Neurospora crassa OR74A: one gene and its partner. The protein of the gene in region 2 interacts with the protein of the main gene of each other region in a biochemical or structural test. Links are inferred from orthologs where the notes say so. Each region holds a gene or a part of one and is shown on either strand. Other genes may lie near its edges.

Region 1 (7,309 bases), on a different chromosome or scaffold from region 2:
CTATCAAGGCTTCCTCTCCATTACACCCAAGGGAAGAAAACCCAAGAACATTGCCGACACCAGAAACCTCCAGTCCACCACCAAGCCTCTCTCCATCCACGCCCAAGTAACAATGGATTCCGATTCATTCTTCCTGCACTTGTTCTCCGTGGCCATAGTCCCGGCGGCTGTGGTGGTGGTGATGATAACAAGTTGCTTCATCACGTTCATCGTCTTAGGAGGCATATGCATGATTGGTTATAGGATCATCATCATCTTTTCCCACGTGCGAGAATTTGTGCGTCGGCGCGGGATGGTGGCCGCTGGCGGCAACAACGACGACGACTACGAACTCATTGACACCCGACTGGCGTTCGGCGATCAACAACTCGATCGAAAATACTTAGGAGCAGCACCAACAGTACTTGCACCAGCAGCACCAACCGCACCAGCAGGAGGAGAATGATGAGGATATGGCAGAACGGAGGCGCAGAAGTAACGCACCGACTTCGACTTCGTCACGGGCGTCCATTGATACTCTTTCTCTCTCCTGATTCTTTCCTCCTCCGGTTATTCTCCTCCCTATTGGTCTCATCATTCTTGTCCGCTTTCTTATTCATGCCCTGGGTGTGGGAGGGGTGAGACGGACGGGTGGTACATACCGAAGGCGAAGAGGACTGGGGATTTTGCAAACCTCCCACAATTTAGCAGACCGACTTGCTGGTGGTGGTGGTGGTGAGTCTGCTGGGTTACCTACTTGACCGAGATTTGGGAAATGGAAAGCAACGATGAGGCTAGGATGACAATTGCGGCGGAGGGAAAGGAAGACGGATCACCGGCATTCAGAAAGGAGGCAAGGCAATACATTGGAGGGACTGTGCGGTTGGTTGTATCATGATTCTCAGGATGAATGCTTCTTTATGCAGGAAGGGGTGGAAACTGAAGTGGAACCATCATCGTTTTTCCTTTCAGGACATGAAAACCGGGACGTGTCCGGACGGGGGCCCGTTAGTCAAGTTCCAAATTTGGGATCGAGGAAACGAGACGGCGAGAAATGAGCTATATCAAGCAATACATGACGACTTCTTTTCTAAATTGTGAATAAAGTGGATCGCTAAAGACGCTCTTGGTGCTCGTCGTACTTGATATGTTTCTTGTTGTTTCCATTTCCCTGAGTCTGGTCGGTATCGAGTGGAACTAAATGGTATTATTTGCAACATAAGTTGGCACAACAATCAGATTGGATGCCATCTTGTATAGGGGAGGAATACAACTTAATATCCTTCTCTTTCTTCTTCTTCTGGACAGAAAAGAGGATGTGTCGGAAAACTCGGGAAGGAAATTCATGGACTCGTGACTATGAGGAGGACCAGGATGAACAGAAGCAGCATAGCTTGCATATCGTAAATTATGAGGTATTCTTCCATGTCAGTTGACCATTCAATTCATACTGGTATCAAGTAGTTGGATGTCATGCCCCCATCAGCCTCGCGTCTTCGGCCTCGTCATCATCAGACTCCTCCTCTTCCGATGAACTCTCTTCCTCTTCTTCTTCATCGTCTTCCTCCTCTTCTTCTTCTTCTTCTTCATCATCATCTTCTTCTTCCTCAGTGGTTTCCCCTTCCTCATCCTCCTCTTCACTCTCCTCCACAACCTGCCGTTGCACAGGTGCTGACACTGGCACCGCCTTCTTACTGATATCCTCCTCCTCCGCAAGCCAATCATCAAGTGTCTTGGTCCCTACTCCCTCACCCAGACCATTAGACTTCGTAGGCACTGATCTAGACGACCCACCGTCCAAAATCTCCAAAGCTGGTACGACTCTCTTCTCGCCGTACGTCGCGGTTGGTGGCACACCTGTCTCTCTCAGTCTCGGATCCGGCTGCTTGCCCTCTTCGACCCAATCGGGCAAGTCCTCGTAGCCCCTGACGCCGTGAACACCGGCGGCATCGGCGAGGACCAGGGCTGAAGAGCCAAGGGTATACCCACGCCTCATCTCCGAGGGACTTTGCGCTTGGGGCGCAGGCTTAGGCGCGAGCAGCATGAGGGTTGCGAGCTGGGGTACGCCGAGCAATGCTTTGTAGAGACGAGTGCGATCACGGAGATCGTAAGAGGTATCGTAGCGAGCCAGGAGGAGCACATAACTCCATAGCTTTGCAATTGGATGGTCATCGTCTTCGAGAAGCTTGGGTGGAGGACCCGGTTCGCCATCGGCATTTTGTGATGCTTCAATCTGTCGGTTGAGGTAGTGTAGGTAGACCTTGGCGCCGAGAAGGATGATTTGTCGTTTGGCGATTTCGGACTCGGAGGGAAAGTCCTTGAGCAGAATCCGAAGCACGTCAGGGGCGATGTTCTCTTCTCCGTTGAGACCGGAGAACTCGCCTACGAGCCAGATAATGGTGGCACGAGCGTGTGGGTCGGTGGCCGAGTCCAAGTTCTTTGCCAGCCTTATGACCGTAGCGACGTGTGCAGTTGGGTCCTGCTGGATTAGATGTCGTATCACTGTCAAGCTCTCTGCGGCCAGCGTGCCGTCCAAGCTAGTGATTTGACTGAGAAGCAACCGCAGACACCTAGGTGCAGCTGTTGTGTCTGTTACCGCGCAGCGGCCAATAGCCCTAACTGCCTCCCTAACCAGCGCCTTATCGGTTCCTCGGCTGAAGTGCTCAAGCTCGTTGAGAATAAGGCTCTTGACATGGAGAGGAGCATGTGGGAAGATGAGTGTCAAAAGCTCCAGCTTGAGTTCCCATATGGGTTGTGTATCCGTTGCACGCACTAGGAAATGCGAGGCATAGCGCACGAAATCGGCAGGCCGGGTAAGGCAAATGGATACGATGTTGTAGAGTGCAACCTGTTGGATATCCTGAGCGCCTCGTAGCAAAGCTATCAATGGCCCGATGGCTGTCTTGACATACTCGGGCGTGCCTACTGCATCGTAACAGCGTGCTACTGAAACCACAACGCCTGAGTTTCGTGATTGGAGGAGGGGTTTGATGCTGTTGAGGAGCAGCTCGAGATCAGGGTCGAGAACAATAACCTCCTGGCCCTCGGCGTCATTATTCGAGCTGGCGGCGGCGTTATCACCGTAAAAGTCCTGAAGATCGGCCGCCTTGTCCTGGGCTTTCACCATCCGGGTTCGTCGAGGGAAGCATTTTCGCGCATAAACTGTCATAAGCCGCAGTGTCGAGAGCTGGCTCCATTCATCCATATCCACCACCATCTTGACTAACTGCCTGTAATGCTTGTGTATCAAGTCCAATCTGTCCGGACAGATCTCCAGAAAGGCTGTAACGGCGGCACCTGCCACATAATACTGCTTGTCGCCTAAGAGAGTCGAGAGATATTCGAGCAGTGAGGGCATTTGGGATGGGTCGAGTCGGTAACACTTGGGGATGGCCAAGGCAGCGGCTCGGCGCACATAGGGGTTGATGTCTCCGGCGCCCTTCTTGATGGCCAACGACACAATCTGGCTGATAACGGGAACCCGTATGTTGGACATTGTGCGTAGAGCCAAGGCGCGCACTTGAGGGTTGGAATCGGAAAGCGACTTCTGGATGGTGTTGATGGATAGCAAGGCAAGGTCGGGGTCCTCCTCGGCATGGTGGATCAAATAGATGTAGACCAGCTTCTTGATCTCGATATTCGGAGAGGCGACGTTCTTGACGACGGAGGAGAACAGAGGGTGTGTCCTTTGCGAGCGGTACATCATCTAGAAGACATGCGCCCGAGCTGTTAGCACTTGCTCCCATGGCCACCAAACCATATGTATGGGGTAAAAACATACCGAGATGACCCGACGCAGACCGTCCAGCACTTCTCGTTCATTGCGACTGTCGAGGAGTTTCTTAACCTGAACGCGATCGAGAGGCTTGGACGAGCTGCGGGCGCTGCGGGCGGCCGAGGCGGCATCGAGGGTGAGCTCTCGGGCTGGAGTAGAGACAGACGCCGTGGTCAGCAAGCAGGAGGACACGGTGATAACCTGAAGAGGGATGGAGTTAAGCTTACCGCTTTCTAGCAGCGACGAAATCCTGGCTATCGATTCCATGTTGGGTCAGTGACTGTTATCCAGCGCACTGAGCTCGCTGTTTCGGGGAGCACGTTTGAGTGTTGCGATGATCAGTTGGAATGGACAAAGTTAGGATCCCGGTGCCCAGCAGTGGGTGGTGAGCTGTGACGTGATGCACGGACGGCCTGGAGCTGTGGTGGATTGGGGAATAGCGGGGAATCCGTAGCAGGCCTACCTCGCAGCTATGTACCCGATACTACCTACCTTGCTGACCACCCGATCTCTCACCTACCCTCCACTTATACACAGACATCACAAGCGGGACATCCATCATCTTCCTACCTCTACGGCCTCACAACACAATGCAATCCAAAGTGAAACAATACCTGACAGACTCACATCAGGCTTCCGACACGGCGGCGATGCCACCCAACCGTCGTTAAGCCAGCTGACAACTCTCGACCGACGAGATTATCGAGGATTTCCAGATGTTGAACTCAGATGCTCGATTCAATTATATGTCCAAAACCCGTTTATGGCTTGATGATTCCGATGAACATTTTTTTCCTTACCATAGGAGATGGTAAAATCACCCCTTTCCACACTTGAAGGTACCCGATAGATCTACGCTCTCCATTTCACGGTTTTCCCCCGTTAATAAGACCGGATAACGGGAGCATTCAAGTGGTGTCTTTCATGTCGAGCTGACAGGTGGTTGAGTGCTCGAGCTGCCTTGATTGTTACCTCTAGTCGTTATGCACGATCCAAGCATATGCATATAGGCGTGTATTCTTTTCAATCGAATCTCCCCAGGTTTTAGCTTCCACTTTTGCCGTCCGCGGGAGGACCCCTATCATCCCGGGTCCGAACAAACACCTTGACCATATGGATCGGGACGGCCGCCACCGCGATACAAGCGGAACTCAGCCCTATCCGAGACCCGCGATGTGATACCTTAAAGTTTAGAAACAAACCTCACAAGTGGAACGCCTTCTGCAGCGTGCATGTGAGACGACAACCAATGCATTTTCATTCCTCGAATACCAAAATCTCAAACGGAGCTCACTCCCCCCACACGCACATATTTGCTGGTTGCGCAATCGCAAGTCGTGGCCAACGTTTTTTCCTGTCGTGAAAGCTACCAAGCGACCAATGTCATGGACTCTTCTCAGTCTCAGGCTCAACCTCAGCCTCTCTTCTGCTCCCCGGCATTTCCCTCTGAGCTGCTCTGGTACATCATCCACCACTGCAGTTATCCCACCACCTTGATCGTCTGCTCCAGCCGACTCGAATTTCTCACAGCTTTGGCTAGGGATATCAGGCAAAGCCAAGAAGATGACGACAAGTCACAGGGTCAAGAGCAAGAAGAGTGGCAAAGTTCACCTCAACCAGACCAAGACAAGATACCGACAGATTCAAAACAAGACCAAAAGGAAGCCCAAGAGTTACAACGGGAAATCCCGTGGCCCAGTAATCAACAACAACCGGCAGCAACAGCTCAGTCAACACAAGATGAACCCACCAAAACAACAAGCACCACCCCGGCGGCCAAAATCACCCCGGGCCCTTGGGCCTCCCAACTCCTCGCCTCCCCCCTCTACCAAGTCGCCGTAGCACGACACATCCGCATAGTCTTCGTTCCCACCGTGTCCCACCTGCGCGCCTTTCTCTCTGTCTTTGATACCAATCATAACAGTACCAACACCAACAAGGTTCCCACCCCTCCTCCTCCTCATCCGTCGACTTATAACCCCTTACCAAACCAGCAAGCACGTCCACAACCTCAACAGCTATTATTAGTCTACGGCTTTCTAGCCTTACATCGTGATTCGAGCGAGTGGAGCGTGCAAGGGCTGAACACCACGGCTGCTGTATTGCTGGAGACGGGGAGGAGGGTTGGGTTGGGGGTTGTGGTTGTTGAGCCAGTTTGGTATGATGAGAGTCTGAGGAGCCTGGATGATTTGCTTGGGGAGAAGATGCCAGTTGTGAGCGGGAGTGCTTTGAGAGGCGCAGGAGGGGATCTTGAGAGAAGTGTTGGTGGTGGGTTGATTGGGAGGACGGTGGATGTTAGGAGGGTATTGGGTCGATGGTTCCAGTTTGGGTTTGGGGAGTGGGAAAGGGAAAGGCAAAGAGATCGTTTGTTCAGTTGAGGATGGTTGGTCATTGCAGGAAAGAGAATATGAGGGTCGTATAGTGTTCAGTACACAGAGCACGGCAGAAAGAAATTTGTAATCGTAAGAGTTCGTGGTCTCATTCAGTGTTACAACTTTTGATGCCTCCTAAAAGGGTATGAAAGGCAAAGATTACCACACCCAACCTTTCCAGCCTGCTGGGAACTAAACCGAAACGCCACTCCATGGTATCCATACATGCTCCAGAAACCTCTTATGCCAAACAAAACCTCGATGCTTTACCCGTGAACCAATGCGGTGCAGTACACTGTACGTTAAACAAGAACAAGTGTGCGAACAAAAGGGTATAAAACATATCCACCAATAAACGCTCGCTCAGATGGCCTGCTCCATCTCGGTAATGTACAGCTTGATGTGTGCCTCCATCTTGAGGTACTCGTCGTGGGCAGCGTGGACTTCGTTTTCAATGTTCTCTTTCAAGTCGAGCATCTAGTTGAGGGCACAACTGGTTAGCATCTCTCCTCATTTCTTTTCTTTCAGTCCAGCTTAAACGTACCTTCTTCTCCGTCTGCTCGATTCTCACTCTCCTCCTCTCAATATCCTTGCCCTTCTCCGACCTCTCCTCGGTCAACTTCCTATGCACCGCCCTCAACTCCTCCATCTTCTCCATGGCCTTTTGCGCCTTCTCCTCGCTCTGCGTTCGCAGCTGCGCCGTGCGATCGACCCACTTGGCCAATTGCCTCTTGAGCAGCGCCTCGGTACGCTCCACCTCTCTAACATTGTGTCCCCGCTCCGTGAGCGCGTCTCTCTGCCTTGCGTTCTTAACGTTCTCCTCTTCTTCCTTGGCCAGCTCGATCGCGATCTCTTCCAACAGCTTGATGCATGATGCCACGTCCGATGCCACCACGCTGAACGAGTCCGTTGACGTCTGGAGAGCTCTTGATCGCCTGTCCAGCGCATCAATATGTGCCTTATCGTTGTTCAGCGTGTTGCTCAGCTCCGCCAAACTAGCCTGCAGCGCCGACGGGCTCTGGAGCACATAAGGCCGGAGTTTTGCACTCTCCTGCTTGAGCGCAATTTTGGTAGCCGTCTTTTCCTCCAACTCTGCCGCCAACTCGCCCTTCTTGGTCTTGGCCTCCTCCAACCTCGCGGCCACCTTCTCCTGGCTTCGCCTGAGCTCCAGCAGCCGCTTCTT
Region 2 (7,409 bases):
CAGCTCCAGCTCCAGTCCCACCAGCATCCTCATCACCAAGCTGTATAATCCTCTTTGGCTTCTTCTTCTTGACCTTTTCTTTCTCCTTCTTTTTTACAGTAATCACCGCCTCTCCCTCTCCCTCTCCACCCACCGGTGCTCCTTCCCCTCCTCCCTCTGCCACCTCCGTCTCCGCCTTCTTTTTCTTCTTCTTCACCACCTTCTTCTCCTTCTCATCTTCACCAGCCCCAGCACCATCTTCTTCCGATTTCGACTTGGACTTGGCCTTCTTCCCCTCCTTCTTCTTCTTGCTCTTCACCACCACCCCCTCTGTCGGCACCCCTTGAGCGACGTGTATCCTCTCATTAGCCCTCTGCATCTCCAGCCTCAACCGCTGGACTTCCTTCATGGCCTTTGCCATTTCCGCGTCTGTCTCCGCGAGCTTTTCGTGCGGGAGAGCACCGCCACCAGAATCCTCAGAATGGCTGGCTTCGAGGCTGAGGTTGCGCAAGTGGCTGGAATCCACCTGCAAAAGGGACTGCTTGAGCTTCCGTGCTGCGCGGGACTTGGCGCTCGCGCTAGACGGATCCGCGTCCGAGTCATGCTGGCTTCCCGTCCGCGGGGTGGACGGACGGCTGCCGACGAGTGTTTCGTCTGCGGCGACGACGATTTGTGGGCGTGATTTGGGTGCCTTGGATCGCTGGGGTGTTCCGGGGGCGCCGCCGACGCCGGAGGAGCTGATGGCGCCAAGGTCGAGCTTCATAATGGGAATGGAGTCGATGTCGAGGTCGGGGCCGTTTTCGTTCTGCAGAATGTTGTGTATTGGGGTGGAAGTGCCTTGTGAGCGAGAGGGACTGCCTAGGTCGCCGATGTAGAAAGGGTCGTCACGGTTGCGCTCTGCTCGTTCGGCCTTGCGACGGGCGATGATGTCTGCGTCAAGGTAGCTATCCTCTGTCGCTTGCTGGTAGGAGCCCGATGTCGTCTCGGGAGCGTCCCGTAGTCTGTTTATTGCTGGCTCGCTGGAGATGCTGGTTGGTGCTGCCTTTTCGTTGTAGTAAGCTGAGAATTCGTCGTCTTCCTGGATGGGAAGCATCAATGAGTCCGCTTGCGCCAGCAGGCTGCTGAGGTTGGGATGAATAGGCTCGTCCAGGTCTAGGCCCTCTGGCATCGGAACATTCAGCTGAGCGCCAACTGCGACGGAGTTCAGCTCCCAACCCTGGAAGAGAGAGGGTATCGCCTGTGTGAGAAGGAGGGGCGGGTCTTGTTCGAGTTCGTCCGTTGATGACGCCTGTGCCGATGCTGCCTCGGCGGTGAGCTTCAAGAGCTCAGTAAACTCAACCGCGCGTTCCTGGACTTCAAGAGATGGATGAAGCACTAGGGGCTCGTATGTATGGATGACTCGCGCCATGAGCAGAGATACCATGGACTTTCGTTCTGCTGTCCAGTATGTTTGGTCGTTACCAGCAATCAGCGCGAACAGCTTCATGGAGGCCTGCAGGCAGGTTGCGAGAACCTCGGAGGGTCTGATACGCGGTATTAACTGTAACAGGTGATTGAGTGTGTCGCTTGGATTTGAGAGCAGATTTGCGTATTCTCCGGCGATCCAGGCAACAGGCTTCAGTGAACCTGATATCACTTGGTGTGACGTGGTCTCCATCGATAGCTTTGCAATAATAAGCTCGGCAGCCCGGACAGCGGCAGCTCTCACTGCTTTCACCTTAACGGCCACGTTTCTGAGCTCATTACCAATACTCTCCGAAATATCGGCCGTGGTAGATTTCGGCCCCAGTGCCATGCCGTCCGAGTCAAGCTCCTTACGAGACGCCGGAGCAATCCGGATAAGTTGTGTAAGTACGTCGATGTACCAGTCAAAGTCGACCACACTGGAGTAGTTGTTTTGCGAGCACATCTTGAGGATCCTGCCAATAACGTCAATCGTATAGTCTTCGGGGAGAGGAGGCGCCTCATCTCGTTTCCGGGACCGTCGTTCAGCGCCCATCTCTTCACTCGAGTCGGTTGACAGATCATCCAACTGATCATTGTTCGGGTTTGTGGACGTTTTCAGCTGCCTCATAAGCCGGCTGACAATGGATACCAGGTTATCGCTGCTGACCATCCCTTGTACCAGGTCTAGAGCCTTGATCCTGATGGTTATGTCTTCGCTGTCGATGCACTCCATGATCACGTCCTCTTGTTGGGCAACAAGGAACGGGTGCGTGACCACGATTCTGTTGAAGGCTAACAGAGCCACATATTTCACTGAGCGAATAACATGGTGAGAATTGTACAGACAAAGGCAAGCGGTAAAGGTACTCACAGTTGGCATCACCGTTGAAAGTAATCATGCCTCGAAGCTTTGAAACACACAGACTAGCAATCTCTTCCCTGCCATCATCTTCAGAGTCTCCAAGGATTCCTCCTTGTATGATGCCGTTGATACATTCGTATAACAGGGACATTGCTGGCGTTGTTCGGATCAGATCGGTCAGGGGCGGCAGAAGCTTGCGAACGAGACGCGGCTCTAGAGGGGTGAGGGTTGCAAACTGCGCAAGTTAGCAAAGACGCCGTCAAGTGGGAACTCCAGGTTTCCTCCTACCAGTTTGATCAACTTTATCGCCATCCAGTTGTTACCCCCATCTACCAAGAGCTCGAACAGGCGCGGAGCCAGGGGCAAGAAATCCTGGGGTCTCCGCCAGCCGAGTTCACACACCACGTTCACAATGGCTGCTGTCACGCTCGGATCCTCGTGCTTGTCCATAAGTCGCTCCTTAATTTTTGGCCATGCTGCTCGGAGGGTCTCTGGGTATACCAGGGCTAGTCTGTATAGTGTAACAATGGTCTTCTTCCTGATAGCCGAATGCGAGTGACTGAGACGCGGCAGTAGGTCTGCTAGTACAGAAAGGGCAAGGGAGGGCGTGATGATATGCGGCAGCGCAGCAATGGGGAGTGAGATGACGATCGGGGAGGAGGCCGAGAGGTCCTTCTTGAGGAGGTTGGTGGCTAGCATGAGCACTTCGGTATCGGTCTTGAAGCTCTGGACGGCGCCGAGATATCCAACGCGCTTCTGGTGGTATTTTGGCGAGGACATGACCTCGAGGACATGGAAGGAAGCCCACGACATGTCATGGCCGTTCATCTCGAGGTAGATGATCTTGAGGAGGGCCGTGGCCTTGACATCTTTGCGCATGTGTTAGCGAAAGCAACTGAACGGGCGCAACAACACAAGAGGGACGAACCCATGTCTTGGCTTTTGATCTCGGAACGACATTCTTTCAGACAGTTCTGGATGTACTCCTTTTCGTTTCCCTTGTGGTTACGCAGACCTCGGATGAGGTCGTACAGCGACTTTTCGAACCTAGGGGGCATCAGCTAAGTCGACTCGTGCAGACGGAAGCCGGAGCTTGACGCACATGGTTGCGGTTGTGGTGGCCCAACTGCCGATGTTCCCAGTGTTGTGAGGACTATATCGAAGTTGGGGAGGCCTGACGCTGGCGGCGCAAGGGTAGCAATCGGTTCGCGTAGAACTTCCACTTGGGTGACAGGAATCGAAAGTGTTTACAAGTCTAGTATAAGCTGGAGGTATAGCGAGGCGACGGGGACGAGGTGTTGCTGTGTCTGGACTGAACCGCAACTCGACGCATCTTGCCGCGGCCGTAGTTGGGGGAGCTGGGAGATGCTGTGGGCGCCACCCGGGTCGAGGGTTGTAAGTAAATGCGCTTCTCGTCGTCACGCCGTTGGGTTTACTTGTCGTCGTCGTCGTCGTCGGCGTCGTCGTCGAAACACGCTTGACGGATCTTGGTTTGGAAAGGCAATGGCCGTCAACGACGCTGCTGCTGGAGATCCGATGTCCGTGGTGGGTTCACAAATGTGGCACCCTCCCCGTCCTGGTCGTGCTATCTCACGTCACTGGCTGCCCTCTGAACTGACTGACCTCTCTCTGCCTGCCTGTGCTTTGAGGTGAGGATGCAGTGGTACAGTTTGCGACTGTCCCCTAAAACCCCAGATTGCACTGTCTGTCCAGCTGTTTTACCGCTGAAAGAGCAGCTATGACACAGTGAGAGCTCCAAACGAGAAGCTCCACATGCTTGCCCCACCTACCTCTACCCATCCATGGAGTGCCTGGGCGGGCATTCAGCTCCAGCTTGCAGTGCTCGCCGCGCGACGTCTACCAGCGTCCAGCATTGTACAGATTGACGCCAGAGAAGTGGAAGCTTCAGTTTCCCCGGCCATCAACTTCTCCTCTTCCATCATTTGACGACAGCTTCCAGACCACAAGCTAAAGCCGAGACTTCGATTGCCTCCATCATACTTGCGCCAATTGTCAATCAGCGGTTTACAAAGTCACGACATACTGGTGGTTCCTTTCAACCTTGACGAGCGACGTGATTCTTGGTCCGGTGCGAACCCCGACCACTATACGATTATCCAACTAAATCGAATATACACAATGGCGCCCTCCCTGCTCTTCAACCCGGCCAAGCTCCCTCCTTCGGAAGCTCTCCAACTCGCACAGCAAGCTCCCGTTGTCTTGCAAGGATCGTCATCAGAGACGGTGGACCAATGGGCAACATACGAGAATCTGCTGCTAGCGTGCCTCCGAACCGGCGATGATGAAGCGGCCGCAAAATGTATGGATCAGCTGGAGGCACGGTTTGGCCCCGACAATGAGAGAGTCATGGCTTTGAGGGGCTTGTTGTCCGAGGCCCAGGCCGAGAACAACGGAGAGCTGGAAGCGGTGCTCAAGCAGTACGATGCCATTCTGGAAGGAAACAGCACCAATCTCGTGGGTCCTGACCGTTTACGCCAACTGTTCTCGGACGGCAGATTTGCTAACCCGCCATGTCTACGTCTACAGCCTATCACAAAGCGCCGGATCGCCCTCCTACGATCCATGGGTCGCGTCTCGGATGCCGCAACGGCTCTTGTACAACTCCTCGACTTCTCCCCAACCGATGCCGAGGCCTGGTCTGAGCTGTCGGATCTCTACTTCACACAAGGGCTATACTCTCAGGCCATCTACGCCCTGGAAGAGGTCCTCCTTCTGTCGCCCAATGCCTGGAACGTATGCGCTCCTCCCTCACCCAACAGCCCAAGCCCTATGCTAATGTAGCCCATCTAGATACATGCACGACTGGGAGAGGTGCAGTACATGGCTGCCACGACTTCGGGAAGTGGCGGTGGATCGCAGCAAAAGTACTTGGCCGAGGCGCTCAAGCGGTTTGCTCGGAGCATTGAACTGTGCGACGACTATCTCCGTGGCTACTATGGGCTGAAGCTAGTAAGTTTCCGATAGCCGTCATGGGCGAACAAAATAATATGTGCTGACCGTCTGCCAGGTCACCACGAGGCTTCTCAAGGAACAGGCCAAACAGGCCAAGCAGACTGACGATGGCGAGTTCACTCTGCCTGATCCCAAGACAATTGAGCGTCTCGATGAGCTTGCGACCGCCAAGCTATCGGAAATCGTTCGTCATAGCACTCTGAAGGACAGAGGCTGGCGCGGCTATGACGAACGTGAGGTTGCAGCTGCCCGTGAACTGCTCTCACAAAATGGAATTGAGAGGTGAGATGTGCTGCCATTGAACGAGGCAAACGGTACGGCGCTCAGTCCAGTGACCGATTCGATATGTTCATTGCCCGCTGGATGTATGTTGTTTGGCACAATTTCAATGTGTTACGGACATCCACCGCGCATATAATGGAAGGCCATCGTCGCAATCGGAACGGCCTCTTTGACGATGGCTGGGACTAGCGAGTGAGCATCATTGGTATCCTTGCAAGGTACTTTGGTTCCTGCCTGCATTAGTCGACGCAGTGGGTCTTTGGGCAGCGAAAAGGCATCAAGAAGTCCGGCTTCACGTGGCGCCAGTAGATGCCCAAAGGCGATCCTTTGCCCGGTGGTAAGACGGGCGGCGCAGGCGTTCTCAGCCCAACCAGAAAGAGAACGCCTTCAAGCCCGCGACTGTTGCGTTGATGCAGGTTGCGAAATCTCCCGAACCCTTCATGAACCCTTTTTTTTTTTTAAATTCTCTCAATTTCTTGGGCAGAAAAATGCGTCTATAACTGGTGGCCGGGTTTCAGCTCGGAACGACATCTGACTGGCTCTACGCATTGCGCGGTACATATCGCAACATGGTCACCGGCCAACAGCCCAGGCCATGACACCGGCTCATCTTCCACTTTCTTTCTTCCAACACCATGTACAGACTCAAGACGAGGTATCCTTGACAATAGTTGATGCCTTACTCTGGGGGGTGTCTTTTGAAGCGGTCCTTGGTAATAATGATAATGAATCAAGAAAAGTTATGGGATTTCAAGATCACCATGAATGGTTTCACAACCTTTCTGCCGCATGGCCGGCGCCGAGTCGGATGATGCTTATTCATAAGCAATCCGGAACAGCAGCCGATAATATTATCCAGAATCTTCAAGTCTGTCTCTGTCTCCGTGGCGCGAGTCTTGACTTGTTAGCGTACACTACACTACATGCGAATGCCCTGAGCACCACTCTGTCATTCTCCCCTCTCACAAGTCAATCTGAGCTTAAAAAATAACGGAGGAAAGCAAGACTACTTAAAAGACATACTCATTTCAACAAGACTTTATCGAAGGAGACTCTTGATATCGCCTCACTTGAAAGTCTGAAGAGTCGATATGTGTGATTCACAATATCTAGTACTGTTGACATCTTTGGGCGGTATGCAGTGTGTCAGCAACGACGGAGGGAGGGTCGTCGCCCATCCCCACCATCCCCCCTGTCTCCCCAGTCTTTAGTTTCCTTTCCGTCACCAGACTAAACCTTTTCAGTATCCCTGCCCTGCGCATCAACTCGGGCCAAGCCCCTCTGAAACCAAAACTCTCACCTCTTTGATTCACTATCCACGATGGAGTCGTTTGCCTGGTCGCTTGTGCTCCTGCTGCCTCATGAGTGGTGAGTACAGTCACTCGGTGAGGACACAAAGGCATCGAGTTTCCGCAAAAAGGCCGTCACCTTTCAGCCATCAGAATACAATCGACTTACACTACGGAAGAGTCTGGCAATCTAGAAAGCCGGGTAAGGCCATATCTATCAGTGCTTAGTGTAAGGATGGTGAGGACAGGGTTACCTGTCTCTAGGCACCGCAGGCAGGACAACACGCTCCGCCTTTACACACGGTTTCCGTCGTGCTGCAGTTCCCCCAGCCTTGCTGAGACGCAGCGACAAGACTACCGTCTCAGGCCTAACCATGAGGCACCTATCTGTGTGTTCCCTCCGCTGATACCTGTTCCCGGCTCTTCCAGCATCGTCCAGCTCGCGTCACGGAAGGATGCCGTATGTAATTCCGTAGTAGTGCTTCCTGCTGAAGGAATTGTACTTTTGCAAGGGCAAGTAGTCCATATGAAATAATATTCCTATACGTACGGCAAGACGGCTGCCTACAGCTACATCC

The links.
Region 1: the proteins of NCU04652 (region 2) and NCU06569 form a complex in vitro, tested with the Saccharomyces cerevisiae proteins (2 studies listed by BioGRID). The link is inferred for Neurospora crassa OR74A from reciprocal best matches to the Saccharomyces cerevisiae genes APL5 and APL6.

What each region holds. Positions count from the first base shown.
Region 1 is NC_026504.1:1,658,125-1,665,433, reverse strand, and holds NCU06569 (AP-3 adaptor complex subunit beta), read right to left. Parts: upstream 4,169-7,309; 5' UTR 4,022-4,168; coding exon 3,982-4,021; intron 3,904-3,981; coding exon 3,761-3,903; intron 3,686-3,760; coding exon 1,451-3,685; 3' UTR 1,057-1,450; downstream 1-1,056. Other genes in the region: NCU06570 (hypothetical protein), read left to right, coding at 113-445; NCU16765 (hypothetical protein), read left to right, coding at 5,140-6,132; NCU06568 (kinetochore protein nuf2), read right to left, coding at 6,490-6,603, 6,671-7,309. UniProt on the Saccharomyces cerevisiae protein: Part of the AP-3 complex, an adaptor-related complex which is not clathrin-associated. The complex is associated with the Golgi region as well as more peripheral structures.
Region 2 is NC_026505.1:1,327,711-1,335,119, forward strand, and holds the start of NCU04652 (AP-3 complex subunit delta), read right to left. Parts: upstream 3,831-7,409; 5' UTR 3,392-3,830; coding exon 3,390-3,391; intron 3,335-3,389; coding exon 3,216-3,334; intron 3,157-3,215; coding exon 2,576-3,156; intron 2,523-2,575; coding exon 2,297-2,522; intron 2,239-2,296; coding exon 1-2,238. Other genes in the region: NCU04651 (tetratricopeptide repeat domain-containing protein), read left to right, coding at 4,427-4,762, 4,835-5,041, 5,099-5,257, 5,316-5,546. UniProt on the Saccharomyces cerevisiae protein: Part of the AP-3 complex, an adaptor-related complex which is not clathrin-associated. The complex is associated with the Golgi region as well as more peripheral structures.